Linked DNA regions of Astyanax mexicanus. The protein of the gene in region 1 purifies or fractionates together with the protein of each later gene. This does not show direct contact. Links are inferred from orthologs where the notes say so. Each region holds a gene or a part of one and is shown on either strand. Other genes may lie near its edges.

Region 1 (15,311 bases):
AATACGCTTAACTGGCAACCCTGCTAATGCCAAAGTCACAAATGTAAGAAATTAACATCATCAAGGTTCATCTTTCCTGTTTGAATCCTGTTTTTTCTGGGTTTATTTCCGCCCACGCCGAAATTCTGCAGGGCTTCAGTCCAGAGTCCAAATCGAGCAGCGAGTCTGTAAACAGCAGCGAGTCTCTCAGTTTACTTTCTGTCTCTGATATAAACACATATACACTACATGGACTAAAGTATGAGGGAAATTAAGTCTATATGAGCTTTTGTCTCATTCTATATCAATAGGCATTAATGTGTAGTTGGTCCCCCTTCCTTGCAGAAAGAACAGATTGAACTCTTCCACTCTTTTCCTGCTCTCTCTGAGGGATGTTTTGCCCATTCACATTAAGAAGAGCATTAGTGAGGTCAGAAGTTATTGTATCTGATGGGGTGAAATACAAATAATTTTTTACAACTCAACTAAACTCACCCAGTCATGTCTTTATGGACTTTTCTTTGCTAGATACCCCACCTCCTCCACAACTACCATGATTCTCACAAGAGCTGGGTATAAAAATTTGATACTAAAAAGGTATCGACCGAAATGTCTCAGTACCTCTCAGGCACTCCCTCTTTTTATCTCTCTACCCTAAGATATATTATGTATATACTTTATATATATTATATATTGTATAAATATATGAGACAGTAAAAAGCTCTAGTCTGCCTGACCTAAACCACACCACACCATTATTACTGATTCCTCTCAAAAATACAGGAAACTAGCAGCTCTTTAAAAAGAAAACCATTAATATAAATTCACACCATTAATATAAATATCATTATTTTTTTCATTTCTAATGCAGATATTTCTTAAAAAGAACTTTTAAATACTGAAATGCATCCAGCAATATGCTTAGAGAAAGTATTTGTAGTTAAAGCACAAGTAATATGTGTATCTATAAGTATGTGTTTGGCACCTATGTTCTTGTGAAATGGCTTGTACTTGGAAGTTTTGTCCTATGGCATACATATACATACATATATATGTGTGTACTTACATACATTTATGCTATATATGTCTTATAAAGTTATATATATATATATATATATGTATATATATATATATATACATATATATATATATATGTATATATATATATATATATACATATATATATATATATATATATATATATATATATATATATATATATATATATAACTATTTATAACTATATATAACATATATAACTCCATACAGTCTATTAATTGTTTTGCCAGGTGAGGACTGAGAACTATGGCAGTTTTTGATATCAGAAATCCACAGGAGAAAATAAAACAAAGGATGTTATAAGTTTGGTTCAACTTAAGGATCAACTGCACCCCCTACTGGTCACAAAAATGTACACAAATTAATAAAATATAAATAAATAGATAAATAAAAAAACAAATGTGGAAATTAATGCCAAGTAAAAGCGTTTTTAAAGGTTAGGAAATGTTAAAAAAAATATCAAGCAGGACTGGTATTTTTCATTACTTTAAATGAACACATTTCAGCTATTAATGGAAAAAATATATGCTTTGGGGTTTAGTGGCTCTTTAAAGATTTCCCTGGACAGTAGAGACAAAGCCTCTATCACAGGCAGGTGAAACTCTTTTTAATGTACATTGGTTATGAATGACTGAACTGTACTTATTGTATGAGACCTATAGAAGTCTAGGCCAGTGGTTTCCAGCACAAGGTCTGGTCAGGTTATTTATAGCTGGGCTAAGTTGGGTTCAGCTGGCTGAGGAGACCTCAGACGTCTGGAATAAAATATCTGTGTTATACTATACTGCCCTCTAATGTTGATTAATATTAACACTGTATTAAACTTCTTATACACATTTATTCACCACCATAAACGGTTTCTTTACCCTTTCAGACACTGCGTCCATTACAAAAGTCATCATGTTTTTTCTTCTTTCTTCTTTTTTTTAATGTTCCATCACAATAGATAATTTACATGCCAATTAAAATGTTAACCAGCCAATGAAGCAATAGCTTGCCAATAGGAACCTTAGCTAAGAAGGAATTGTAAGCATTCATTTTTATACATTTTATGTAATTTAGGACACTTTATTTTAGCAAGTTTATTTTATGGCTTAATCATGGTTTGTGAACTAAAAGGGCTATATCAGTTATAAAATGACAATGTTAAACTCAGGCTTCCAATGCAATGGGCATGTTAATGTTAAATATGAGATTATTTATGAGAAAATCAGGTCTAAAGGGGTTAAAGTCTATTTTTAATACCACACTTCCTTCAAGCTCACTGGACAAATAACACATTTTTGGGAGACACACAACGCATCACATAATAACAGATTTATTAAACAAGTGTACAGGAATGCTTATGGAAATTATGAAGGAGTTTTAACATATTGCAAACAATAAAAAAAACAAACCATGTGTTATAGTGATCACTGCTTTCAGCCCATATCAGAAGAGAGAGAACGACGCCTGGTTTTCAGGCACTGGGAGCGTACTGCATGGCGAGTCTGTCGAATTCGTTCTCCTGAAAGGACACAGAATTATTATAAAATCAATTATAGTGGCACAAAAAGCAGAAAAAAACAAAAGCAGGAACAAAATCATGACCATTAGCATACTATTATAATCAGGCTCATCACGAAGGTAAAACTGGAGGTCATTACTCTTAATCACTGCAATAATTAAAAATCCAGCTCACGCTTTCATTCAGTTCTGTAATCAGTTTTTAATGACTCCCACACTCCAGTTATTAGAGGGATCTGTAGGGGTTAAAACACTTACCTTAACGAGATAATCCTTAATGAAAGGATGAGATTTGTGGGCATCTTTCTGCTGGGATAAGTAGCGATTTGTAACCTGTAGAGACACAAGAAGAAAAACAAGAAGGAAAGATGTTTACTACAGGTGTCGTCTTGATCTAGAGAAAGTTAGCCAGGAAGTGCAAACTGTGCAAACTGTGCAAACTGATCAACAATTGAATATATAGAATATGTAAGTAGAGAAAATGTTTTATCAGTATGTATTACTATCAATATCACTATTTTAAATGCTGGAGTCACATGAGGGAAGCATTAAGTCCACTGACTTTAGACTAATAGAACACAGTGGATCAACACCAGCAGATGACAGACATGTCTCTCCAAACCATCACTGATCATCAGTAAATTTTACATTTCATTTAAAGTAAATCAAGGGAGCAGAGTCTGGAGGAAGAGTGGAGAGACACACAGTCCAAACTGCTCGAGGTCTAGTGTGAAGTTTCCACCTATCAGTGATGCACTTCATGCTTCCCTTTGCTGACAGCTTTTAAGGACATGCGGATTTCATTTTCCAGCAGAACTTATTTTTCCATATTTCATGGCACAACCACTACGTAATGTTGCATTAAGAAGGTATCTTAGAGGATGGGTTTTATTCACTATCATATTACACTTCAAAACAACAAAAGGCTAAATGCCTTATTTTTCACTTTTATATTATTTATATTATTTATCGCTTTAGAAGTTAACTAAGTTAAGTAAAGTTAAGCTAGGTAAACAAAACTGTAATAAAAAAAAATATATTTTAAAGTCGAAGAGTGCTCGATGTTAATCTACAAAGATTTCTCTCCTGAAAACTGTTTATTTGAGTGAGTAAAGCGCTTCCGTTTATTTACAGTAAGATTAGATTACCAAATTTCTTCAGCATTAAGGACAGCAAAAGAGCTAGCGCTGTGGTTAGCGGGCAATGCTAATGCTGCTCCAGCAGTGCTAGCCATGGTTAGGAGCAGGCTACAGGCCGATAAAACTCAACTCTGAACGTGACATAGCGGTTTGCGGCTAATGCTAATGTTACTTCAGCCCCGGTGCTGGAGAACTAAATTGAAACTCCTGTATAACTCTGTACTTCAGCAGAAAAATAAAATAAAATAAAATTCATACATAAGGCGCACCAGATTATAAAGTATGCTGATGATTTTTGGAAAAATGAAAAGATTTTAGTACGCCTTTTAATGCGAAAAATACAATAGTAAATAGTGTTTAGGACATGGCAGTAACACACACACACACACACACACTGACCTCGGGAGGCTTGCCCAGGTGTTGTGTCAACACAATCAGGTTGACGAGTGTCTCAGGGTGGCCGCTGTCCTGTAACAGAATCGAAAAGAACACAATAGAGTGAATAAACAGGCAATAAGGATCTTCTCACAGATAACTGGGTAACTGGGCTATTTAGGCTGTAAAAACAGATAGCGAAAGAAAGAGTAATCCTAGATTCTGACACTGAATTCCTTTTTTTAAGCCAGAACTGTTCATGAATAATGTTCATTTACTGATTTATTCTAAAGTGAAACACACTGCTGATTCTGATTTGTAAATGTCCTGTACTGTATTTCATTGGTACAGAGTTTTATGTGGACATCATTTTAAAACATCTATTAAATCAGAATATTTACGACATCAATCCCATATGTGGTTTAGATTTTTTGGACAAAGACTAAAGAGTGCAGCCTGAACAGAAAACACTTTATTAACTTAACTAACACTTAATTAAAGCATAAATAATGTATAGCAGTAACGACTCCTAATTTAAAATGGGCTTCAATGATTAGAAGACTGAAGCTCAAAGGCATTTTCTCACTTTGTCCAGCGCGTCCTGCAGGACAGACTCAGCCTCGTCCCATTTGTTCTGGGCCATGTGGCAGGCAGCCTGACCATTCAGCAAGATTAGAGTGGGAGAGTATTTATCAGACATCTCCTGGAAGATGTAGAAAGCGTCCTGCAGCTTCTCTCCTCCCTGTCGAACAAGGAAAACACAATAAGAGACACGAGAAAGAAGCAGCATTTAACAGAACGGTCTCGTGTAGACTGCCCTAAAGCCATGACCGGATTCTCCGGACATACTCTGCAGTACAGTGCAGTATACAAAAAAACTGTAAACTATTATGAAGTTAAAAGAAATACAAACAACACAGACACTCACCACAGAAAGGTTGACCCAGGCAGTGGCCAGCTGAGTTAGTGTAGCATCTTCATCCTGTTCCTGCATCTTCTTTAGCTCTTTCCTACACAGTTAACAAATCAACACATGAGCAACAGCAGGTGTGAACTTTCACTTCTGCCCACTAAAAACCACTAAATCAAATTCAGGGATAAAAACACTGGGCTTAATTGCACTGGTGTTGTCATTATGTAAAGAGTTCCCAAACAGATGTACAATATAATGAATAAGAAACCCATTTTACACCATTTGTGAAGAACAACAAAATGTAGTATCTGTAATAATAATCTTTAATGGCATTTCAATAAAAAAAGACATATATATATATATAAATGAAAACATTTTTACTCTTGTGGTTAAATGTTTATTCTATATCCTTACAGGATTGGTCAAAATAAGCATGACTTGTCAAATACAGCTAATTACAAGCCTCTTTGTCCCACCCACAGTGCAGGATTGGTTGAAACCTGGCTCACGTGTTGAACAAGATGCCTGTTTTTCCTAATATTGTATTTTTGTAATTGCTTAAATCAGTATTATACAAGAATATGTCATTTTTATCCCTGGGCTCCCCCTACAGTCAGGGAGCTGAATATAACTTATGCTTTACTTCATTACAGTCAATGTGCCAAATAACAGAAGCTGATACTTAACATATAATTAATATGTAAATTTGTTTTAAACAAACTTAATTATGAATCACATCCATATTGCACAGCCCAACATTCTTTCACACACCACACAAAGAAAACATCACAGCATACCTTGCCATGTCAACTCTGTCCAGCTTCAGAAGTACCTGGACGGTCATCGCCATGCTAAAACAAAGAAACAAAAAAATCTAAATAAATAAATAAAACAAGACAAAGCTGAATCAAATGTTGGATTCTTCACCGCACTGACCACTCGAGGCTCTCTCCCTGGTGAAGTGTTCGCAGGGCAGCGTCTGTGTTCATCTCGTGCAGGTAGATGGAGGCGGCCATCAGCAGGAAGGTGGTGTTTGAGACGTCCACACTTTGACTCATCTTCTTATCCAGCTCAGCCACGATTGAATCCCTGCACACAGTTTTATTACAAAGAAAAAGTGTGTTTTAATATAAAGCATAAATAATAAGGGATTAACATGTACATTCATTATGATGGGTTTCAGTAAATCACATTCTGGGTGCTGACCTTTTGCCCTCATTAGACAGATAGTCTGCAAACATACGGACAGCTTTCAGATCCTCAGAGGAACTCTGCTTTATGTCATCCAGCACCACTCCATACTTTCTCTGCAGGAAAAAACAACAAATATCACTTTAAATATTCTGGTTTTAGATGGTCTACGCTGGTTTTCACTGGTCATGGTGGTTGAAGTGTTGGTCGACCTGTATAAATACATGCAAATGTTCCAAATGTGATCTGGTTGCACAGTTTAGCTCCTGACCAGCATGACATACATTTGAGTCTTTTTTTTTTGTGTGTCTGGTCAAATGCGCCGACCAGTTGAGGTCAAGAGGTTGAGCTGGACCATCAGCATGACCATCCAAGCTAACTAGTCTGTTCATTAGACATATTGGTCTGCCAGTTTGGCTGTACAGGATGATTAGCCTCATCAGGACAGTCATACTATTAAACTAGCTAGTTGACTAGCTTAGCTATTGACCAGCATGGTGTATGTTTTTATTTTATGGATTAGCTGGTCAAGGTAGACTTTCAAGGCTTTGTTAGTCACACTTGCAAAGCAAATTTGTCTGTAGTAAATTAACAAAATTTACATTTTAACACCCACATTGTTACTTTAACACTAACTCTGTTTTACTGTGTTTATTTTGAAGTAAATAAGGCATGAGGAAAATTCACAGTGGATATGATGTGAGACCAACTGAGGGACTAGTTTAGATTAGCCTACTAAAGCATACCTTATATTTTTATTGGGTCTAATGGAGCATAACCCAATTGAACGAGCTTATCATACTGGTCAATCAACAGGTATGCTAACAACCAGCAAGGTGAAGCCAGCCTTTCTGGTAAACCAGCTCAACCATCACACACAAAACACACAAAAGCAAACCAGTTCAGCTGGACAGTAGGAGTATGTCATATGTATCGCACACTTTTATTTTTTTGTTTGCTTGCCTTTAATGCAACAAATATTTATGCTGCACTAATTTTGTTAAATATTTTTGTTGTTTATTTATGTTATTTATTATTTTACAATATTTTTATTTTATATCAATTAAGGGTCTAACTTAATACAATTTAATATTTATTTTGCTGCTGTAGTATAGTCTTTAAAAAAAATATAACACCAATCCCTACTGAGCAGTTAATTTATTTTCACCAGGGACAGGTCTTACTGGTGCACATATTGGGCTATATGATGCAAATAATAAAAAAAAAAGCAATAGACAAGAAAAAAGTGGAGCTGCATGGCGTGTAACTAACATAACCTACCTGTGCTATGTACGCCCTGTAGAGGAAAATGTCCTTCTCCAACTCCTTGTCTGGTCCTGAAGCCTGTAAAATCGATATATGAGCATTACAGTGGGGCATAAACAGAGAATCGAGGCCTGAGAATCTAACTGTGGAGTAAATTACACTAACAGATGTGGGTCAAGTAATAAGTTAGTTTTGTAAAATAATGAGTACAATGAGCACAAAAGTATAAATTCCTGTATAAACAACACTTCTCAAAAGGTAACATTAGAAACAGCTAACAGACAGTCCATATGGCCATTTACAGCTCAAATATCTGAAACATTTATAACGTTCCCTGTAAAATATATATGGTAAAGTATACATAAAGTATATATAAATATATACAGTAAAGCAGCAGCAGCTGACTGGTGTTGTTTTCTATGCTAAGCTAAGCTAACAGCAGTTAGCCGGCTGACAGCCTCCCTAAACCCGCCTCTAACTGAAGCCCTGCTCCCCTGTAAACCCAGTAAAAGCGCTGTAGAATCTCCTCATACCTTCACTTTCTGAGCTTCATTAATACAGTGCTGATAGCTGCCGATATAAAAGGCGTTTTTCACGTCGAATAACTCGTCCACTTCTCCCTGCTGCGCCGCCATGATGCTTCTGAACACCAGTACACGTCACTTCAGCGGCCACATCATCCAGGTCGGCTGCAGGAAGAGTGGGCGGGGCGACGAGCGACGGTCTTATTTCTCATTGGCTGACGAGTCTGTCAATCTCACTCGCACTCATCCATTCATTTTATTAGAAACACTAAAGCTAACTACAAACACTAGAGGAATTTAAAAAGACTCTAAAAAGACTTTAATAGACTAAAATCTGACACTCTTTCACATCTAAAGACAAGTCACAGACATTTTAGTCACAGACTAAGATTTTACAAAAACTGGTAATCTTGCAAGACTGCAACTAGATTCTTTCTCATCCAGGCCCTTCTGATAAATAGTGTATTTAAATATATAATAATAGTGCACTTAAACTGTTATGGAAGGCAAATCCTGCTAAAAATAAGACTGAAGTAAAAATACTCAAATTAAAACGCAAATACTGTTTTGCGCTTTCTTTTTTTCCAAACATGTGTGAAAATATTAGAAAAAAAAATAAAATACAAAAATAAAATAAAAATTACTTTTATTAATTAAATTTTGCCTTTTTAATTTTAATTTACAAGCTTATTGTGAAAAATAAAAGCTTCACTTTGGCCTTTCCTTTTCTTGATGAACTGCATAATAAATGGCAAAACTAAAATCTAAATGCACTGGTAACATTTTTATTTATTTTTCCTTGCAATAGGCTGCATGTCTGACAATTAAAATAAAAACACAAAATGGAAAAATCAATAGCAAAGTAACAGTTTGTGATTTAGTTTGTAGAGTGAGTGGCGCTTTAAGTGTCAACATAAAAGGGAAATACAAAGAAAGATTAGCGCTATCTGCTGGTGATTTACTATTCATTGATTCATTTCCCACTTTTTCCCACAGTAGGCGGGGCTACAACCACAGAACCGGTAAGTATAAGCTTACCATTTCTCATGAACACTCCTGTTGTTTAATTGTGCAAAAAGTAAAAGTTTAAAAAATCAGTTCTGTTCAGCTGAACAACTCTTGAAAGCACACAGACCCACAAACACAGGCTAAAGACACATCAGGTGTTTGTCTATACAGGGATTTTATTGCTCATCATAGATGTGTGGAAAGCAGTTCTTCCAGTTTAGAGATGAGGGTGTAATTTAGCAGAGCACACGGGACGGCCCGCACAAAACTAGCCCCCATCCCACTGTAGAAACCTCTCAGCCCGTTCTTCTCATAGATCCCAACCAGTCCATGAAATATATGTGAGGAATTCTGGCAGTTTGATGTAAAAGCTGGAAGAGAGACATGTAACAATATAACAGTTATATTGACAATAAAATAGTCTAAAATATTATATATTATTATATATAATAACTGATGTAATAATTCAGTAATTAATAAGAAGCATACTGTATTTCATAAGAGCTGCATTACATCACTTATTTTACAAAAATGATTATATAATATATTATTTCGTAATGATTAATAAGGCAATAATTAGGCATACAAAAAATTTAGTAGGGTAAAATGTTTTTTCTGGTTTGTTCGGCAGCACAGTATCAGTAATTATAAAAAGCCCCACTGTTTTATACCCCTCACCTTGCGCTTGATGCTGGGTTCTAATGACGGCCAGAGGGTAGCTGCTGGCCTGTCCACACGCGAACGCCACAAAGCTGAAGAACAGCAGTTTGATGTCACTGCGGTTGGCAGGGTTTCGTCTGGCCCAGCTCATTATCGACTGTTAGGACAAACGATGAGGTATGAGCTATTTTTCTTATAACTGTTGTAGTTAAGTATGTTTAAGCATGTTCATGTACAGTAGGGGCAGCAGATGGTAAGAGTATATATTAATAAAGGCACAAATTAACCCTGTGAACACATTGAGGCTATCAGTATAGGCCTTAGCATAACGTATGATCATATATTATTATGAATATGGCCCCTGGTTTGATTTACCTGATGAACAGCACACTCCACTCCAGCATATGGGATCATGCAGAGCAGACTTGGTCTGAAACCTCTGTAGAAAGCTGTCACAGACTCGTTGCTGTAAATGGACTTTGCACATCCCAGGAGTCCGCTGTAGTTACCGGCCTGCTGCAGATTCAGCCTCACCTTCAGAACCTGCGATTGAGAAGCAGAAAACACAGTCCAGTTACTGGTCTTAATGACTTTTTGTTTCTAGTAGAACCAAACCTACCTTTTAACTCAAATGAGCAAAGACTTCTGCTGGCCCCCAGACAAAAACTAGTTGTGAACTGTGTAAGAGGCCGTTTAAATTCTGTGATGGTCAATACAGGAAAGAACAACAACACTTTTTTCAGAATCCACCTTAAGGGGGCTCCTCCCACTATTTACTGACAGTAGTATACAACCAGACTGGAACATGTTCAGCAGTATCCATGCACACCAGCTGTTCACTGTCTTTAACACTAGAACGGATAGAGCTAACGACTAACTGACATTAGTTTCACACACCAAAACCTCAAACTATTTGCTAATAATTAATTAACTTCACATGTCTTTACTCATCTTAATTTTATTTTTAACTGAACTGAGTTTTATATGGTTATATTTGTAGCCACAATCTGTCTGAACTCTGAGAAAGAGACGAGACGCAGCACATTTTGCCTCAATCTTGGTCAAACAACGATAAAACATTTCAGTAAAGATGGTGGTTATAATGTGTTTTATATCATTTGCACAGAAAGGAGAAAGCTTCCTGGGAGTGCTCAGACCTGTGATGTATCTGTGATACCTCTAGGGGGTAAAATGCTGCGTGTGCTACAGCTCCAGACACACAGCCCAGTCCGAAACGCTGCTCCACAGACAGGTGATCTCTCTCGCCCAGGGTCTGCTTCCTCATCTGGGAAACAGACAGAAAGCAGTTTGTAGGATTTGATTGGGAACTGCTCTAATTAATGTGATTATAAACAAGACCTGTGATTTTATTCCAGTATGAATCTGCAGCTTAAAGTGTAGATCATTAAGTGATTCAATTCAAAAATGAGTTTTATGCGTGTTTGACAATAATAATTATCTATTACCTATTAGACACTTTTGCAGAGATAATATATTACAGTGTTGATTTCCAGTAGTTTCTACAGTCTGACAGTGTATAGATTGATAGGTATATTTTAATAACTAGAGAGTGATTTTAACTCAGTATAAAAAGATGGAACATGTGAAACAAGGTTATATTTATACACCTGGGTATACAGGAAACACTGCAGTGTGGACTGTGGTGTTCCTTTAAGCACATTAACAGCATTTCCCTGCCACATGGACCTCAAGCCTCCAGTTCTCAGATCTTGCAAACCCAAAGACACAGCCTTGGAGCCATAAACCTAGAAAACAAGGGAAGGAACATCTATAAAACATCTATAAAAGCTGAACAAAGTTGTCCACAGTTTAAATATTATAAAAAAAGATTTAAAAAATCTGTCAATCAACTAGAAAATGTAATCAGATTAATCACAACAATATTCTGTGATTAGCTGTGATTAATCGCATTTGTTCTTCTTAAGGGGCAAGTTTTACAGTGGATATTTAAATGTAAATAAAAGAATGAATGTAAAACATGTAAAATGCAATTATATTTAGTTTTAGTGGTCTCAATTAAAATACTGGTGTATATTTCTATGTTTGAGGGGAGATTAAAAAAAACAACGTGGGGTGCCGGAATAAAGAATGCATGATAAATATAGATAGAGGAAACTTTTTTTTACTTTATTGTAAACATCTCAGCTTGTTTGAGCTGAAATACCTGTAGCTGAGTCTTTAATCGGTCAATGGGAGCCGTCACAGTTCTGGAAACAGCGTCAGACAGACCTGCAGCCAGGATGAAGTTCCTCCACTCGGACAGATCCGTCTCCGCCTGAGTGAGCTCTATAGGCATGGATCGACTCTCACCAACGTCAAACACCTGCAGATGGAAGCAGCAAGGAAAGGTGATGATTTAGGAATTCTGTAATTAAATAGTAATAGTAAATTTATACTAAATTAACTGATAAGTAAATCTTAAGTAGAACTGTTTTATGCATTACAAATTTTATTTATCATATATATGCTATAGTATGACAGGGTTCTTTTTTATTGGATTACAAGTCCAGGCAGTAATAAGTGTGCTCTTTACCAGTGTGTGCTTCCATGAGGATATAAGCTCTCTGATATTTTCTGCTGGGTTGATGATCACATGTTGCAGGAATTCCCCCCAATCCACAGTCATGGAGCTGTCCTCATCCATCCTAATAATGAACAGAAAAAGAATTAACAGAGTTAACAGAGAACCATCTCTGTTTATACCCAATCCCAGCAGTACAGACAGCAATATGATCATATGATGTACATGATGATGATATATAAAGTATATGTAGCCAATTAAAATGTTAATTAGCAATTGTAAAAAAGAAAAAAAGGCAAATTTCATGCATCTTGGCATGTTCTCCTCCACCAGTCTTACACACTGATTTTGGATAACTTTATGCCTTAACTCCTGGTGCAAAAAAAATTCAAGAGGTTTTCAACTTGGTAAAATCAAAGAAACTCATTGTTTTCAAATGAAATGGTCTCTTATTTTGTCCAGAGCTGTATATATACATATAAATATCTTTTACTTTATATTTTACCACAGTTAGTTCCGACCCTGCAATGTGATTGGCTGAGAGATGTTCTGTGAGTTATCATTATCAGCCAGTAATGCACTGTAACCGAAGCACTCCATGTATGACTCCGCCACATACAGGTATCCTAGCAATAATGCAGCGCTTACAAGCCAAACAGCGCAGCTTAGATACAGAGTATCAGTATCTAAAGTTAGTGGGTATAAAGCATGCAGTGATGATCCTGGCCTTTCTGTTAAAGCAAATAAGGCTTTTCCTCCTTCCTCCTCCTTCAGTAAATATCAGTGGGAAAATGTTTCATTCCCAGTAGGTCTATTCCCTCTGAAAAGACCATGATCATCACGATTATTAAATCAGGGGGTTTGGATGCATTCAGCATAACCAGTAGCAGCAGGTCTTACATCTGGATGATTCTCTTTGCGCTCTGCTTTGATATGACCACACCTAATTCCTTAAACACATTTACGATATCCTCCTGGTCAATGACTCCTAATCAGAAGAGAAATCAATGTAAACACAATATATTTAATAAAAACAGTGCATCAACCAACCAAAAATATACTATTAAAGCGCTCAGCTCACGGCTAAACAATGCATCTGATGTCTGCTTCTTTACTTTATAACTGGAGATGCTAGGCTAACAGGTTTGCTAACAAAACTGGTGACAGTCCAAGTGCAGTGTTTGTTAGTATTACTTTGTCTGGCAGCTAATGAAGCACACTAAAGATATAAAACCTGTCTTAAATGATTAACTGCCTCTGAACTCAATTTTTACTTGATTTACTAATTTAGCGAAATATTTGAGGAATGCACACCACGGTTGTTCTTATCAAGGTTCTGAAAGTCAATCTTCCACTTCTTTTCTTGGTCCATTATATAGTTCAGGAACTCCTCGTAATTAAGTCGTCCATCCTGATCACGGTCACTGTTGCTCACGATGATCTGAAAAGAAAAAACAAGATTTCTCACATTTTTACAAGCATCATTTCATTTAACAGTAAAGCACAGTATAGTATATCAAGTATAGTATAACAAGTGATAGTAAAAGGAATATTCTTCATAGGATTGTAGAGTATGTTACAGGAAGATATGATGCAGTATTGTTATGAGCTATAGTTTAGTAATTCAAAATAAAATTATAGTATTAAGTGTGGTAAGCTGATTATATGGTAAATTACATTACATTTGGCAGACGCTTTTGTCCAAAGCAACTTACAATAGTCAAGTACAAGTAATAGGAATTAAGATAAACCATTTTTAGATAGGGCTTAAAGGAGGTCGAAGGGAAATAAAGGGATAGAGAAGTGAAGGAGGGGAAGAAGGAAATGAGGTTAGAAATACTGAAAGGTAAAATATAACAGCTATACAAGCTATAGTAATAAGCTATAGTATAGTCTTTCAACATAATTGCATTACTGACTTATCATACAATAAACAGACATGACCTCAATAATTTTGATAACTGTGATATCATCTAGTATATATAGTACAGTATATAGTATTGTTTATAGTATAGTATAGTATATATGTATATCCATAGAAAGAATATAGTATAAAGCATAAAGTACAGTGTAGTACAGTTGTGTACAGTATAATAAAGTACAGTATAGTGCAATATAGTATTGTGCATTATAGTACGATACAGTATTGTGTATATCTGGATGCAGGTCAGGCTGTTGTTGTTGTTGGTGGTGTGTGTGTGTGTGTGTGTGTGTAGGAGGATGTTAGCCTGTAAGAGAGACTCACCCGGGCTTTCTCTTCACCACACACCACCCCAACCCTCCTCATCTCCTCCTGCAGCTCCTCCACCGAGATAAACCCATCCCTGTTCCGGTCCAGCTTACAGAACAAGCTCTCAAACTGCTCCATCACCTCCTGATCCACTGATCCACACTCACAGCTACAGCTACAGTCTGCTAACAGAGCTGCAGCATCAGCATCAGCACCAGCATCAGCACCAGACCCACGTGAGCCTCCATTCATCCCTTTAACTAAAAGGAACAGTACACAGGATTACATGATTATAGAAAGAGACATTCAGCTTTATAAATCAGTGTAGTTTATAATTAATGACCTGGTTTATTTAGTTAACATATTGAATTAATAAACTGGATTGAGTAACAATAAACTATGTAAATGTTGTGTTTTATAAATAAGGTATGTATAGTGTAATATTTAAAATATATTCATTATATTCGATATGACTAGATTTGTGCTTATACATACACATATACATTACCAATCAAAAGTTTGGACACAACTCTTCTCATTCTCATTCTTCTAATTTCCTATTTTATGATTTTTTACTATTTAAATGTAATACTAAAAAACTATATTAAAGCTATTAATAATTAAAGAAGTTATTTATGAAACAAAAAATTGCTAAACAAACCAAGAAAATGTTTTTTTTTTTTATTAAGAAATTTTGTGTTGTTTTAATACCAATAAAATATGAAAAAACGAAATTCTGACTGCAAACTAAACAGGTTTGCATTGCAGAAATAAAACGTTGTCTGTCTTTTGTCTTTCTCTTTATTAAACTCTTGAATAATTAGTTTCATAATCCAGTTTTTTTTTGTCTCTTTTCTATAATCAGCAGGATGGCTGGATGCTGTCTGCCTCTGCAGGTAAAACGCTGAGTCATGGGAGA
Region 2 (15,923 bases), on another chromosome or scaffold:
TATCCAAGTAGAGACTTTCAGTATTAACTCCACTCGATATGTTTGGAAGAAGAAAAACAGTGCATAAAAACTAATTGGCAAAAACAAGTAAAAATATGTATAATCTGCCAATGGGGTAAGCAAATTTTTTTTTTAGTCAGATTTCTAAAAAAATAAAAAAAAGTCTCAAAATGAGTGATGTAACACTTAAGGCAAGCAAAAATCTGGCTTAAATTCGTACACAATTATCAGAATAACTTGACTGGTGACTTTTTGTGATTATTTTGAGTCAAATTACTTAAAATAATTAGAAAGAATTGAAAAGACTGAATCAGATTATAAACCATTCTTAAAATAAATAAAACAATCGTACACTTACACAATGCTTAGTAAGACCAAAAATGTTATCAGAGAAATAAATACGATATATTGCCTTAAAATCACATGATTTTACTGCAAAGTGGAGAGGATGCTTGCACCATATTGAAAGGAGGGTGGATGAAGTCATGTAGCAGAAGATTTTGTCCAATAACCTCCTTCTGTCAGTAAGGACATTGAAGAGATGTGCTGTTTGGGTCTTCCAGCATGACAATGACCCGAAAAACACAGTCATGGCAATTAAGGAGTGGCTAAGTAAAGCCCTATCTGGAAAGGATTCGTTTCTCAGGGGGACGTCCATGAAAAATATTTCACGATTCTACTCAGTGATAAAACTCCTGCATCCGGACTGCAATTGAAACATGTAACATGCAAATTAATTATTAAAAAAAATCATACAATGTGATTTTCTTGTTTCTCACAGTTGAAGTGAATTTACGGTAAATATTAAAGATCTCTCCGCTCTCTTTGTAGGTGGTAAAACGTGCAAAACCGTCAACGTATTAAATACTTATTTTCCGCGCTGTATATAATAATAATATATGTTTGCTCTGTATGTAAAAGTTGCTGTTTGAGTAATGCAGGCACGAGGGAAAATATCCAGGAATTAATTAATCATCTTAATTCGAGAAAAGGCTCGGTAAAGTAGAACCATAAAGCAGGAGGACGAGGAGCGGCATTAATCAGAGGCGCGGGAGGGATGCAGGCAGTCTGTCGCAGGCCTCTTAAATGAGCCCATCAATCAGGCTGCTCTCGCGCCTCTCGCGGCCGCGGGGAGCCGCCGCTGCCAGACAGCCGCCAATAATTAGCCATCATGCTTTACATGCGGCAGCGCAGGAGGTGCAGGAGCGAGGTGAGGGATTCTGGGGCAGGATCCCAGCGGCACAGCCCAGAACACACCCAACACACCAAACACACCAAACACACCAAACACACCAAACACACCAAACACACCAAACACACCAAACACACCAAACACACCAAACACACCAAACACACCAAACACACTGCCGCGGACTGATCTCACCAACGAGGAGCACAACACAACACCACTGGTAAACAACCGCTACTGAACCGAGACAACAGGAAAGCAGAATACAGAGGAGGAGAATGGTCATTCAGCAATATTATACTGGTTTTTCAATATACAGCTCTGTAAAAAATGAAGGTCGCACTTCAATTTCTGAATCAGTTTCTCTGATTTTACTATTTATAGGTTTATGTTTGAGTAAAATGAACATTGTTGTTTTATTCTATAAACTACAGACAACATTTCTCCCAAATTACAAATAAAAATATTCTCATTTAGAGCATTTATTTACAGAAAATGAGTTGCAGAAATGTTTTAAAAACATCTTGGCATCATGTTCTCCTCCTCCACCAGTCTTACACACTGCTTTTGGATAACTTTATGCTGCTTTACTCCTGGTGTAAAAATTCAAGCAGTTCAGTTTGGTGGTTTGATGGTTTGTGATCATCCATCTTCCTCTTGATTATATTCCAGAGTGTTCTCTTAATATATATATATAATTTTTTACTTAATTTTGTCCCATGTTTTCCCCCAATTTCGGAAAACCATATTCTCCACCCTTTCATTAGGATTTTCTCAATCACTAGTAATGTTCCCAAAACACCAGGAGGCTGCTTATACTTAAAATTTTCAATTGATTAAATTGGTTGTTCTGTCCTATTTATAACAGAACATATTTATAACTATTTTAATAAATTGTTACTTTTTAATTGTTTAATTGTTTGGTTTTATCTTTTACATTTTGCTAATTTATTTAATTAATTAATTTAATATAAAATAAAGCTGTATTTGTTGGTGTGAAAGGTGCTATATAAAAAAGGTTTATTATTATTAGAAGAGAGAAAGAGAGATGGATAGAAAGAGAGGGTGAGTGTGTGTGTGTGTGTGTGTGTGTGTGTGCTGGAGAGTCTCCTCTCACCTGAGTGACGGTCTGTTCTGTCAGAGGAACGTCGTCGCCCTGTAGGAGATCAGAGATGATGAGTTGTGGAATTCATCAGCTTCCAGTCGAGCTTCTTACTCATTTCTGTCCTCCGTCATGCTGTCTTATCTACTGAATACTTAAAATCAAATCTAGCAGCTCTACCAGCAGATATATTAATAATAATAATAATATTCCTCCACACCGCACTGTCAGAGAACTAACACTGATATACAGGAGCACGCAAAAGTTCAGACACAACCGTCAAAAACTTCAGAAAGCCTCTAAAAGGCATTTAGTTAAAGAGAAAACTTTGTTTCACCTGTTTTTCTAAAGAAGGATTAGAGTATTATTTTGATTTTATCCACAAAAATACTGTAAAAGAAACGACAGTTTAAAAGAAAGTGTGGAGGTCAAATATTGGCTTGGAAGACTGAGAAAACTTTCATGAAGAACTAATGCTAGAACTGTTTAAACAAAACTCTCCTTTAAAATGCAAAAATATCAGTTTTGAATTTGTGGTGCACTTTTCTACTGTGCAGCAAAACCTGCACAAACACAACATACAGCAAAGACTCATAAGAAAAACTAACCACACCATTGAAACTAGACTGATCCATTTTTTTTTTTTTAACAAATCCTGTTGACTGATTAAGAAGAGTTTAGAGAGTGCTGAATATCTTTGAAACATAAACTCTCAAAAAAAAAAAAAAACTGTTAAGCATGGGGGTGGATGATTCATGCTTCGGAACTGCAGTGTTGCAGAATGGGCAAAAAATCATCCAAACAAACAATGAGAACCAAAACCTGGCTACCAAAACTGGGGGCTACTCCTTGTACTTATTTACTTGTGAAACTGTAAAATTATAAAGCTGTTTAATTTTACACCTTATTTGCTTGATTATAACCAGTAACACACATTTTAAACGGACGCCCAGGTTTTTGCAGGCCACTGTACATAAATGTTTTAGATAGGAATAGTAATAATATCACAGTTACCCTCAGAGCCACTCTGTGGACCACCTGCTGCGGGTCACTTTCCAGGATCACACTGTCAGAAACAGACAGACAGAGACAGGTTAAATACAGCACTCAAATACAGCAGAAAAAAACATTTTAGTACCTGTTTACATTAATTAATCTGATTACATTTTTAATCGATCAACACCACTACTTTTTAGATTTATTAAAGTTATATTTGGCTGATATTAATGTTTTTTGATCATTTAAAATAATGTAAGTGTGACAAAAATGCATTTTCACACCACCTTTCAATAATATTTAATATCTCTGATTCTGACAAAAACACACTTACCCTCCATCTACAATCTCATCCACAGCCAGGAATAAACCCTCCATATTTTCGAGTAAGGCCCTCTTCTCCACATTTTTCCTGTAAAGAAAAGAATTATTATTACAATTAAAATTTAACTGAGAAAGCTCAAATTACAGAATCTACAAAAATACAGCTCTGGAAAGATTTAGAGGCCTCAGTTTATCTGATTTTGCTATTTATAGGTTTATGTTTGAGTAAAATGAACATTGTTGTTTATTCTATAAACTACAGACAACATTTCTCCCAAATTACAAATAAAAATATTCTCATTTAGAGCATTTATTTACACAAATATGGTAATAATGCAAAAAAATAAAATCATATTCATAAAGTTTTAAATAAAAGTTCAGAAATTAATATTTGGTGGAATAATCCTGGTTGGTTTTTAATCACAGTTTTAATTTCATGCATCTTGGCATCATGTTCTCCTCCACCAGTCTTACACACTGCTTTTGGATAACTTTATGCTGCTTTACTCCTGGTGTAAAAATTCAAGCAGTTCAGTTTGGTGGTTTGATGGTTTGTGATCATCCATCTTCCTCTTGATTATATTCCAGAGGTTTTTAATTTGGTAAAATCAAAGAAACTCATCATTTTTAAGTGAAAATTTTTTTTTTTTTCCCAGAGCTGTATATCACAGAGAATTATTTCATACCTCAACATCTGACTCAAGGAGTCAAACAGGCAGTTCAGCACTGACATGAGCATCAGCTGTATGGAAAAATTTAATACAAATTAATAAACTGATTGATGTGTTTATTAGACAAATAAATAAGAATAAGTTTAAGCTAAAAGAATCAGGTTTGAGCTGTTACCTCGTTCTCATGTGAGCTCCCGATTACATAGAAGTACAGATCTATGTTGCTCTTATAAACAACAGTAAGGCCTTCAAGCAGAGCGATTTCACCTGTTAAAGAGAAAAATCAAATCAAGATAATTATAAAACTGTGAAAACTTCAGAACAAATAAACCGTGTAGTAAATAAACGTAAAAAAACTGTCTTACTGTCTGTTCTGTGCGTCTTGTTGAAGATGTTCTTCTCAAAGGCCTTTTGTTCTTTAACTGTGGGGTAGGTGTCGTCATAATACTGAAACAGAGGTTAATCAGAGAGACGTTATAAATAAAACGTACAGATAAAACCATCACAATCCTTTAAAACAGCTCTGTTACTCAGATTTACAGTTTCTTGAATTTCTAAAGTGTGTATACCCTTGAATGTATTCACATTTTGTTACCCAACAACAACAAACCATACAAAATAAATAAAGTAAGCTATTTTATTGAGATTTTAAGTGAAAGAGCAACACAACAAGTAGCACATAATTGTAAAGTGGACTAAAAATTACTTCACAATTTTAATCAAATAAAAATCTGAAATCATGTTTATCCCTTTATCCCATATAAAATAAAATGATAAAATCCAGTGCAAACAATTAAGTGATTACCTTAAAAAAAATCTCCAAATTAGTTAAAAGGTCTCATTACATCGTTATTTCATTTCTTGTGTCTCTAGTATGAATGAATACCATGTGAGCTATTTTTTGTGGAAAAAAAAAAAAAGTGCTCCGGTGATCCGGTATAACACTGCTTTAGTCCGGTGGAAGAGTGGGCGGGAAAAGAACGATAGGATTACAGCCCTTGCTTATGAATATTCATACATGCAAACATCACCTCTGATTGGCAAAGTGCATCGGACAACAGTTAGAAACGTCTTTACAATGTCACATGTTACTTTAAAACATGTGTAATAATGCCCTGCTAAGTGCAGTTCAGCCACTGACCTAGTCTTAGTCTCTGTAAAACACCAAATCCACCGGAGATCCTATTTAAACCTATAGTTACTTACACACAGAGGTGGATAACAGAGTCCAGGTCCGGAAAGTAAAAATCCATCAGGGAATTTTACTTTTAACTAGTGTAAACAGAACTGTTCTAAACACCTCTCAATTGTACTTGGCTGGTGGTGTTTTTTCCTCCATAGACTAATTCTAACCATTTGTTTCTTAGCTCTGAATTACTGGGTAAAGTATATAAAACACTGATGTGTTATTCGCACAAACAACACAGGAATGAACTGCATGCTGCCTGTGGGCGGTCCCGAGCCAAAAAAAAAATAAATACAATCAGAAAGGAGTGAGGACTGGAGTATTATTACTATTATTATTTATCTTACCTTAGCATAGAGTCTTTCTCCATCATTGTCCATGATAAGAACTGCTTTTACGGTGTACAGAGAGGGCTCCTGAAACAGCAGCACATGAATCACGCGAGTTAATCAGTAAACAGATTTATGAGTTAATCTAATCTACACTCGCGTACACCAACGTATTAACAGGCAAAGGTTGTGCTGAGAATTAGGCAGCAGGAATGTTAAATAAAATTAAAGTGAAACATGAAACAATATTTTAGAAAAGTAAGAATAATTGATAGAAAACGCATAGAAAATAATTAGCGTTTATGCATTACAGATTAAAGATTCTATCTGCAAAATTGTGAAAATTAAATCCAGATTTAAGAAAGTAAAATGGCAATACTGTCACAGTCAACAAATTTTCTTTATTATGAATTTTAAAGAGCAAATCTCATAGAAAACAATGTTTTCCTCACTTTAAATAAAAAGTTAGTTTTTTTATTTAATTATTTAATACCCAGTCCATGTATTCAACTTATATAAAAGTCAATAAGGAGCATAAGTTTTATACACTCATTATATTTACCCTAACTTCCAAGCTAAAAATACTAATTACAGATTTTTAGTAATATAAGCACACATAGATAATTAACTAGATATGGATGCAAACGGCTTTAAACTAGCTAAGCTAACTAATGTTAGCATGTCTGCCTCAAAACAGCTTTAAAAAAAAAAAAATGTGTGTGCATTTAAGAAAATAAAGCTTTCCTCTCAGTAAAGCTTCAGAAAGAGAGAATAATAAGTGTAAAAACTAAGTTTTGGGGTTTTAGAATTAGAGGATTATCAGTGAAGGTTAAGAAAGAGAGAATAATACTTTTATAAAGTTATTTTGGGTGTTTTTTAGAGGATAATCAGTAAAAGCTAGTTAGTTAGCTCTGCTGCTGCTGTTGTAGTAAAACACTGTTATTATTAATATTAAACTCCACAGCAGCGATTGCTGAAGCTCCAGTTCTCACAGTAAGAGATAATACAGCTCAGATAATATTAATAAATACAGTATTGTAATAATTATACCAGTATTAGCGGCTCCATCCTCGCGGTTAATCAGCGGAGCTCCTGCCGATCCCAGTGCTGTCCACTTCCGGCTGTGACTGAACCGGAAGTGACCTTGCGTTTCACTTCAAAATACAGGTCCGTCCAAAATATCCCTAATACGATGGCGTATGAAAACAGTACACTTCAAGATTAAAGTCATAATAAGTTTGTAATATTACGAGATTAAAGTACTACAAACATAAATCTGTAAAATATTACGAGATTAAAGTCATTATATTACGAGAATAAAGTAGTAATATTGCGGTAAGGTTAAAATCGTAGCATTACTAGATAAAAGTAGTAATATTACAAGATTAAAATTATAGTATTACGAGAATGAACTTGTAATATTATGAGATTAAAGTTGTAATATTAAGAGAATAAAATCTTAATATTATGAGATTAATGTCATAATATTAAAGGCTATTATTTGGTTTGGTTTGATCATCCTTAATGTGGTTACCCTTGTAAAAGAAAAAAAATATATATATATACATATATATATATATATATATATATATATATATATATATATATATATATATATATATATATTAATATGTATTTAAATACACACTAAATGTACTATTTTGGAACAACTTATGGCAACTTAAATATATTTCAATTGCAATTAAAATATATTTAAATACAACATAAAAGCATTAGGTTGTGCTTTTGAGTGCTTTTTTGTATAACTTCTGTGAACTTAAGTAGATTTATAGCTTGTGTTTTTTTAAACATCATGTTCAATACACTTAATGTATATTGTAAATACACTTTATACAACTTGAAAAAAAAAACTATAAACTATAGTGCACAGTAATTAATGCCACTAAACATTTTTTTTTCAACACAACATTTAATTTAAAGCATATTGCTTAAAAAATGCATTTTATGGAAATACAGAGAAGGTATATTAAATAGAAAATGCAGAGCCTAATCTGAACATACATTTAATGCTCTTAAGGATACTTAATTTATTTACAAGGGTAAAGTTACACATTTGCATACATTTTCTTTAGTTTATTTACCTATTTAAATCTTCATTAAATAAATCCCAGAGTTCTAGTCTGAACGTTACTGTGTTCAGTGCACTCCTGACCTTCCTGTGCCGCTGTGTATAACTGAGCCTGGATTCCAGCCTGTCTTGCCTTTATTGAAACTTTCCATTTTGTCATGCTGAATTCAAAACCAATAGGCCATTCTATCACAAAAATAGGCCCACTTCCTTGCCTACAGTACCCTCAGTATTTACTGGAATGTTTCTGCACAGGCGTTGTCATGCACTGAGGTCTGTAGAGGAGCCAACCAGTATCTGACCTTCCCCTGTCAATTACAGCTCATCCATATACTGCCTATTCTCTTCTTCACCATATTCACCATGTACACATACAGCTCTGGAAAAAATAAGAAAGCACTTAAAAATGATGATTTTCTATGATTTTACCAAATTGAAAACCTCTGGAATATAATCAAGAGGAAGATGGATGATCACAAACCATCAAACCACCAAACTGAACTGCTTGAATTTTTACACCAGGAGTAAAGCAGCATAAAGTTATCCAAAAGCAGTGTGTAAGACTGGTGGAGGAGAACATGATGCTGAGATGCATGAAAAAAAAAAAAAACTGTGATTAAAAACCAACCAGGGTTATTCCACCAAATATTGATTTCTGAATTTTCATTTTCTGTAAATAAATGCTCTAAATAAGAATATTTTTATTTGGAATTTGGGAGAAATGTTGTCTGTAGTTTATAGAATAAAACAACAATGTTCATTTTACTCAAATATAAACCTATAAATAGTAAAATCAGAGAAACTGATTCAGAAACTGAATTGGTGTTTTTTCTGTAGTTCTGATCTGTAGTTTAAGGACACTATTATTATATTTAAATACACAATTTTTTCACAAGGGTTTAACTTAATGTATATATTTACAGTATTTTACTGCGATGAATTACTCAACATGGCTGTATTGTATTTGAAGTTTAAAAAATGTAAAACTATTTTTGAATTGTTATTTAAAACAATATCTCCACAATCTTATTTAATGTACTTCCGAGTGCTTTTGTGGGCCGATCTCTTTAAATAGCACCACCATGAGTGTCTGATCTAATTTGGTTTTAATTTGGGTCGTAATCCAGTGATTTGAGGTTAGTTTTATGAGGCACAGGCCTCAATGACACGAGTCTTCTGTAAAACAGTAAACAGCTTATGATACGTCTGCTTTAATTTAACAGATCCTCCTACAGGCGGCCGTCATCGTCCTCATGGCACGGGTCTGGTCACTTCTTCTGGGAAGCACCACTGTGAAAACCCGAGCTCCGAGGGGATTTTCCCTGCTCACTCCTCCTGCACACACACTGACATCAGAGTCCTCTCAGCTCCTGCTCTCAGCCCTTTTGGTTTCAAACACGGCGTCCAAGATCTGCTCCCAGGCCTGCAGAGGGTCATTTATACCATATCAGGAAAACCAGACTGTAGAGTTGTGTATTTAACATGTTAACTTTATTTTAGGGATTGTTTTTCATTTATTCACAGTTACAAACATGCACAGCAAAATAAACAGTGTTAAACTTTAGAGGAGTTACCTGGGTATGTACAGGACCATCTAAAAAAATTAGAATATCTTTGAAAAGTTGCTTTATTTCAGTAATTCAGTTGAAAATGTGAAACTCATATATTATATACATGTATTAAACAGAGTGATCTATTTTAATAATTTATTTATTTTATTATTGATGATTATGATGATTATGAAGCTTACAGCCAATAAAAAAACCCAAAATCAGTGTCAATCAATATAATAAGACCAATTGGTACTTTTGTTTGGCAGTGTGGGCAGTGTGCCAAGTCCTGCTGGAAAATGAAATCCACACCTTCATAAAAGTTGTTATCAGCAGAGGGAAGCTGTAAGATATGAAGTGCTGTAAGATTTTGTGGGAAAACAAAACTGCACTGACTTTAGACTTGATAATAAAACACAGTGGATCAACACCAGCAGATGACAGACATGACTCTCCAAACAAACCATCACTGATCATCAGTAAATTTTACATTTCATTTAAAGTAAATCAAGGGAGTCTGGAGGAAGGAAAATAAGTTTCTTACTGAAAAATAAATACTGTAAACTATTTTTTCTAGATCTTCAAACTTTATATTTGCATATTTTCTGACCTTCCCCTGAAACTATATAGCTAACTAGAGTATCTATAAAACATTATAAAATGTAAACTATACCACACAAAAAATTACTTTTTTTTTTATCTTTTCTAAGCTTTAGAACCTGAGAGATCATCTTGTGTGGATACCCTTATCCACCATTCATAAAAATGCTCAAGTATGTGTGTATGGGTTATTTGGAAGAGGCAGTGGGTGATGTATGGGTTTAGGGGCGGGGCAGGAGGGAGATCTGACTGGGCTGAGCAGTGTGCCTCTGTAGCAGTACAAACAAACAAAATATATACAGAACATTGATGTTATATCCATCGACTTACACCCTAAATTAAACAGCATTAATAAGTAGCTGTGGAATAAAGGAGTTAAAATTGTAAAATAAAGTAAATACAGGGTCTGAAAGGGTTAAGGAGTTCCTCCACAGTTTTAAATAGAAGAACTCCTGAAACTTCCTGCAGGAAGGTATTATTTTAGAAGTGAGAGTGAGAGAATACAGCATTTCCACCCTGTACACAGTTTTAATTGTGTTAGTAGGGTTTTAGGAGAAGTCTGTGGAGATTGTTCTAAAGCCTCTGGCAGCAGCAGAGCGGCTCACCAGCGCGTTTCACAATCCAGCTCTGGGTTTTCACAAGGTTACCGCGAAGTGCATTTCGAAATCATCCTTTAGTGCTGTAGAGGACACAATACGAGCTGGATGTGCCTGATGAAGCGATAAACTATCTTTCTGATACACGTCGCAGCATCACTGTCAAGAGTGCACATGCATTTATATTTTTAATAGTGAGGTTAATATCAATATAAAATAATATACAGCTCTGGAAAAAATGAAGAGAGCACTTCAGTTTCTGAATCAGTTTCTCTGATTTTGCTATTTATAGGTTTATGTTTGAGTAAAATGAACATTGTTGTTTTATTCTATAAACTACAGACAACATGTCTCCCAAATTCCAAAGAAAGAGAAATCAATATTTGGTGGAATAATCCTGGTTTTTAATCACATTTTTTTATGCATCTTGGCATCATGTTCTCCTCCTCCACCAGTCTTACACACTGCTTTTGGATAACTTTATGCTGCTTTACTCCTGGTGTAAAAATTCAAGCAGTTCAGTTTGGTGGTTTGATGGTTTGTGATCATCCATCTTCCTCTTGATTATATTCCAGAGGTTTTTAATTTGGTAAAATCAAAGAAACTCATCATTTTTAAGCCGTAGCAGTAAGTATTAGGATGTACTCTGAATTAGTATTAATACACATATAGAGGAATACTATGTTATCCTTTAAAAAAAATTAAATATTTAAAATATAATAATTTAAATTAGCTATTTCCATTTAAAAAAATAATATATATATATTTTTCTAGGGAATAAAGACACTTTCTGCATGTTCAGCTATTAATCATATTAAATTCACCTCATATTTCTCATATTTAAAACAGAACAAGCTCACCCTGAACAATTTAAAGTATCTGTAACTTAGTAACTAAGTAAACCATGATTTCATGAAAAGGCCTTTTTTTGGTAAAATTGTCCACACTGTAGTGCAACTTACCATCACATATTTTTTTTATTCAAATTTTCTGTTGCATATTATAATGTTAGCACTGTTGCAGAAGCTGAAATCGCTCCAGCTCTTTATGAAACGTGTAGAGACCATGCTGACCACGTCTCCCAACCCCACACTTTACCCAACAACGTATTTTACATTTTGTTTCTTGTTTGATTCTGCATAACATCCTGAGTAACGCAAGTCACGTGTAGTCAAGTCAGTCTCTTTAGCTTCTTAGCCAATTATCCAACCTACTTATAGGACTCCCCCTCGGAGGAAAGCACCTACAGCGACTCGGTTCTGATACATCAGCTCACAGATGCAGCCTTGTGCTGATCCACATCACCCTAGGAGTGATGAGGAGGGGAAAGAGAAGAGCGCCATCTACTGTACTGTACCCACCCAGAGAGAGAGCAAGACAAACTGTGCTCTCCCGGGGCTCCAGCAGCTGATGGCAAGCTGCATGAGTGGGATTCATGGGAACATAGTTGCTCCAAATCTTTAATTTATGCACAAAAAATCTAAAAAAGAGCTAAAAGTGAAGGTCTGGAGATTGTTCTCGATGTGACGTTTTTTTTTTTTTTTTTTACATCTGGAGACTGTCACTGTTGTTTCTCAGCATGAAGATCAAAGTCGTGTCAATTTTTGAGAAACAATACTGCAAGTAAATCATCCAGAGACCCCGCCAAAACATTAGTGCCACGGTGCACGGTTTGGTTCACTGTTAACAAGCGAGAATGCGTTGGTGAACTTTGTGAAAAAACACAAAGACCCGGTAGACCGCAGGAGACCACAGTAAAACAACACCAAGAAATATTTTAAATACTTCAATCGTGAGGAAAAACTGCTGAACTGCTGAACGGCCTCAGTAAAGACGTGCAAAAGAGAGGAACACCCTTCAGTTTTCTCTCTGAGTTTAGAGGATCTGGAGGCGAAGCTTCAAAGAGTTCACCACAAAAAATTCAGACCACCAGGAAGAACCAAGGAGCCTGGTTCCATTTCGTAAAGAAATGAGTAGAACTGTCCGTTGACTGTCATTGGCTGGTGTAGCGCAGTGGAAAACACCACTGCATGCCATTGAGCTACCATATTATATAGGAGACTGGGGTTCAATTCCTAATCTGGGTGACTGAATGCTGCTCTACACCAATACGTTTTTGAGTCCTTGGGCAAGACTCCCAACACTACATTAACCCACGTCAGCAAAAATGTTATAAATGTAAATGTAATGTAATGATAAAATATAATAACTAATTATTATTTTTTAATGATTAATATAATGTACATTCTCCTTCTTAACACTGAAACTTTTAATAGTGGATATTTCAAATGTGAAATGAATAAATCAACGTAATAGTCAAACACAAATAAAGTTTGGACACACTTTAAATTCAGTGGTTTGTCATTAATAATAAAAAAAAAAAATCTGAATTGTAGATTCTAATATTTTGTAATAGAGGGCTTCAAGTGGATCACTGGTTCGAATCCCAGCCATGCAGCTTGCCATCAGCTGCCAAAGTCCTGAGAGAGCACAATTGACCCTGCTAAACTACAGACAACATTTCTTCCAAATTCCAAATAAAATTTTTGTCATTTAGAGCATTTATTTGCAGAAAATGAGAAATGGCTTAAATAACAAAAAAAATATGCAGAGCTTTCAGACTGCATCTTGGCATCATGTTCTCCTCCACCAGCCTTACACACTGCTTTTGGATAACTGTGGATAACTTTATGCCACCCTATTATTGAATCCACAACAGTACAGTCCCAGACCTGCTTTCTTAATCTTTGTAAATTATAAATATTATACTAATATTAACAAAGCAGTTGTTTCTCAAGCTTGACTTTCACCTGTTGCTGATTATGATTTACATTGTATTTGTGCAAATGAAGATGACACACCACAATTAATCACCAGATGATTTTAATCTCGGTCTGTGACATCTGTTAACTAAAACTAATGGAGAAATGACAGTGAGAGAGAAGAAGGGACGGCAGTGATGAGTAATTGATGTACTAGTGAAGGACGATGTGACTAATGTCCTCAGATGTAAGAAGGTAAAACGTGCAAAACTGTGGTGACATTTAGTGAAAGTGCAAAAAGTGCGTCAACGTCTTTCTCAAGTTAAAGTGGAAGATCAGAACTGAAAAACACACTTTGAAAAGTTTCAGCAACAGTCCCTAATCCTTTAGTTTAATGACACTTTACAATAAGGGTCACAAATAACAGTACTTATAACAGAGTAATAAATAATAAACACTGTTAAATGGTTGAGTAATGTCTAAATTGGTACTAGTTAAGAGGTTATTAAGCATGAATAAATTTGAATGCTTTATAATGGTATGAATAATAAATGGAAAATTGCAACATCAGATATATTAATATATTTAGAGTGGAATCTGTTGGGTTTTTTTGGGATATAATTGACTTTGCATTTTGACAGTATTTCTTAAATGATCTTCCACATACAGCTCTGGAAAAAATAAGAAAGCACATAAAAATGATGAGTTTCTTTGATTTTACCAAATTAAAAACCTCTGGAATATAATCAAGAGGAAGATGGATGATCACAAACCATCAAACCACCAAACTGAACTGCTTGAATTTATACACCAGGAGTAAAGCAGCATAAAGTTATCCAAAAGCAGTGTGTAAGACTGGTGGAGGAGAACATGATGCCAAGATGCATGAAAAAAAAACTGTGATTAAAAACCAGGATTATTCCACCAAATATTGATTATTTCTGAACTCTTAAAACTTTATGAATATGATCTTAATGTTTTCTTTGCATTATTTGAGGTCTGAAAGCTCTGTGTATTTTTTGTTATTTCAGTAATTTCTCATTTTCTGCAAATAAATGCTCTAAATTTTAAAAGATATGAACGTGCCAAAGTCAGAGCACATCTGGCTCTTAAATGGAATGACAACTGGCACAGTGATTGGTTTATTTTATGTTTTGCCCAAAATTAATCGCATACATGATTAATTAAGACAATTAGTACATGCCTTTTGCACGTTTTGCAAAAACGATTTCGAGCTGCACAATGAGTATTTTTTTTTTAGCCCTTGCAATACCGAAGACACACGACATGCTTTAAATGCTTTGGATCCGCTATAGATTATTAAAATATGGCTCCAGGACTTTCTGCAGCTCTATAGAAAATTCAGAGTGCACCTTTAATGAACTTTGCATTAAACTATCAGTGAACGGTTGGTGACACTGCTTCACTTCTAAGAAGCTGCAGTTAAGAGGAATCCATTTCAGAAGAATGTTTGTCACGGTGCAGAGCGTTGTACCTGCTAGACTCTGAATGAGGAACCTGTACCCGCAGTCTTATTGCGTACAGTAACTGTGTCTCAATAGCAGCCAAGATAAAATGAACTGATAAAGAGAAACCTTTCGAAATGCCTCATCTTTATCTCTTCATACACAACCGTGTACAGTACTGTAGGACCTGGTCTGAACGGTCAGGTTAACAGGAAGTCCTAGCTTCCATCTGATCACTCTCAGCACAGCGCTGATGGACGGTACTGTATGTGGAATATAGTAGAAATATAGTGGAAATAAAGTGTTGCACTGTGTGTGGTCAGTATATTTTTATACTGTGCTTTCGTCCCTCAAAACTGTTAAATCTTGGACTATTCATCATATTTATAAAATGTCAGACTACAGGGAGTTCTGGGGTAATTTTCTCTGTGATTTTATTCCCGGCCAGAACAATCATGTAGGTGTTTTTCTCAGACGTCCTCTGAGATAAAAAATTACAGGCTGAATTATCTACTGTTTTTCTCTGAACTCTGTGCTCCTCCGGTAATTTTAGTCCCGTCCGGACGCACATCTCTCCGGACAAGTTTCGTCTCCTCTCCTTTAATAAAATAAAATAGGTATATGTCCACTGCTGCGCACCGTAACTACTGTACACTTTGGGCGCGCCACGGTTTCCACAGAGATCCACGTAAAAAAAAAAACAACAACAGCGAGTGGAAATGGAGGAGCTACTGAACAGCGTTACGTGATGTCATGTGATCGAGAAAAAACTAAAGCCTAAAAACTTACTGGTCCTCCTGTTTTTTCAATTGCAATCTGAACGCAGGAGTTTTATCATGAGTAGAGTAGAAGGGTGAAATATTTTACATAGAAACTAATCCCATCCGGAGAGGGCTTAAAACAGGATGGACGATTTTAGGCAAAATTGGCATTTGTTAAAAAAAATCACAAGAAAATTTTATTTTTATTATTACATTTTATAGATTAATGGTAAAGCACATTTCTTTAATTTTATGTGTTTATTTTTATTACTTTATATATTGTTTAAATAAAGATAAAAGAT

Evidence for each region.
Region 2: the proteins of cope (region 1) and copz1 purify together in Homo sapiens (affinity purification with mass spectrometry; 3 studies listed by BioGRID and IntAct, with this or other methods). This does not show direct contact. The link is inferred for Astyanax mexicanus from reciprocal best matches to the Homo sapiens genes COPE and COPZ1.

The regions. Positions count from the first base shown.
Region 1 is NC_064415.1:56,235,504-56,250,814, forward strand, and holds cope (coatomer subunit epsilon), read right to left. Parts: upstream 8,104-15,311; 5' UTR 8,064-8,103; coding exon 7,962-8,063; intron 7,507-7,961; coding exon 7,444-7,506; intron 6,279-7,443; coding exon 6,178-6,278; intron 6,061-6,177; coding exon 5,908-6,060; intron 5,823-5,907; coding exon 5,769-5,822; intron 5,069-5,768; coding exon 4,987-5,068; intron 4,801-4,986; coding exon 4,645-4,800; intron 4,152-4,644; coding exon 4,083-4,151; intron 2,878-4,082; coding exon 2,803-2,877; intron 2,546-2,802; coding exon 2,498-2,545; 3' UTR 2,341-2,497; downstream 1-2,340. Other genes in the region: slc25a24l (solute carrier family 25 member 24, like), read right to left, coding at 9,147-9,331, 9,639-9,777, 9,996-10,163, 10,798-10,905, 11,249-11,386, 11,806-11,964, 12,175-12,286, 13,063-13,150 and 2 more. UniProt on the Homo sapiens protein: The coatomer is a cytosolic protein complex that binds to dilysine motifs and reversibly associates with Golgi non-clathrin-coated vesicles, which further mediate biosynthetic protein transport from the ER, via the Golgi up to the trans Golgi network.
Region 2 is NC_064420.1:849,439-865,361, forward strand, and holds the start of copz1 (coatomer subunit zeta-1), read right to left. Parts: upstream 6,955-15,923; 5' UTR 6,866-6,954; coding exon 6,848-6,865; intron 5,885-6,847; coding exon 5,816-5,884; intron 4,730-5,815; coding exon 4,648-4,729; intron 4,550-4,647; coding exon 4,458-4,549; intron 4,354-4,457; coding exon 4,298-4,353; intron 3,700-4,297; coding exon 3,622-3,699; intron 3,358-3,621; coding exon 3,306-3,357; intron 2,346-3,305; coding exon 2,307-2,345; intron 1-2,306. UniProt on the Homo sapiens protein: The coatomer is a cytosolic protein complex that binds to dilysine motifs and reversibly associates with Golgi non-clathrin-coated vesicles, which further mediate biosynthetic protein transport from the ER, via the Golgi up to the trans Golgi network.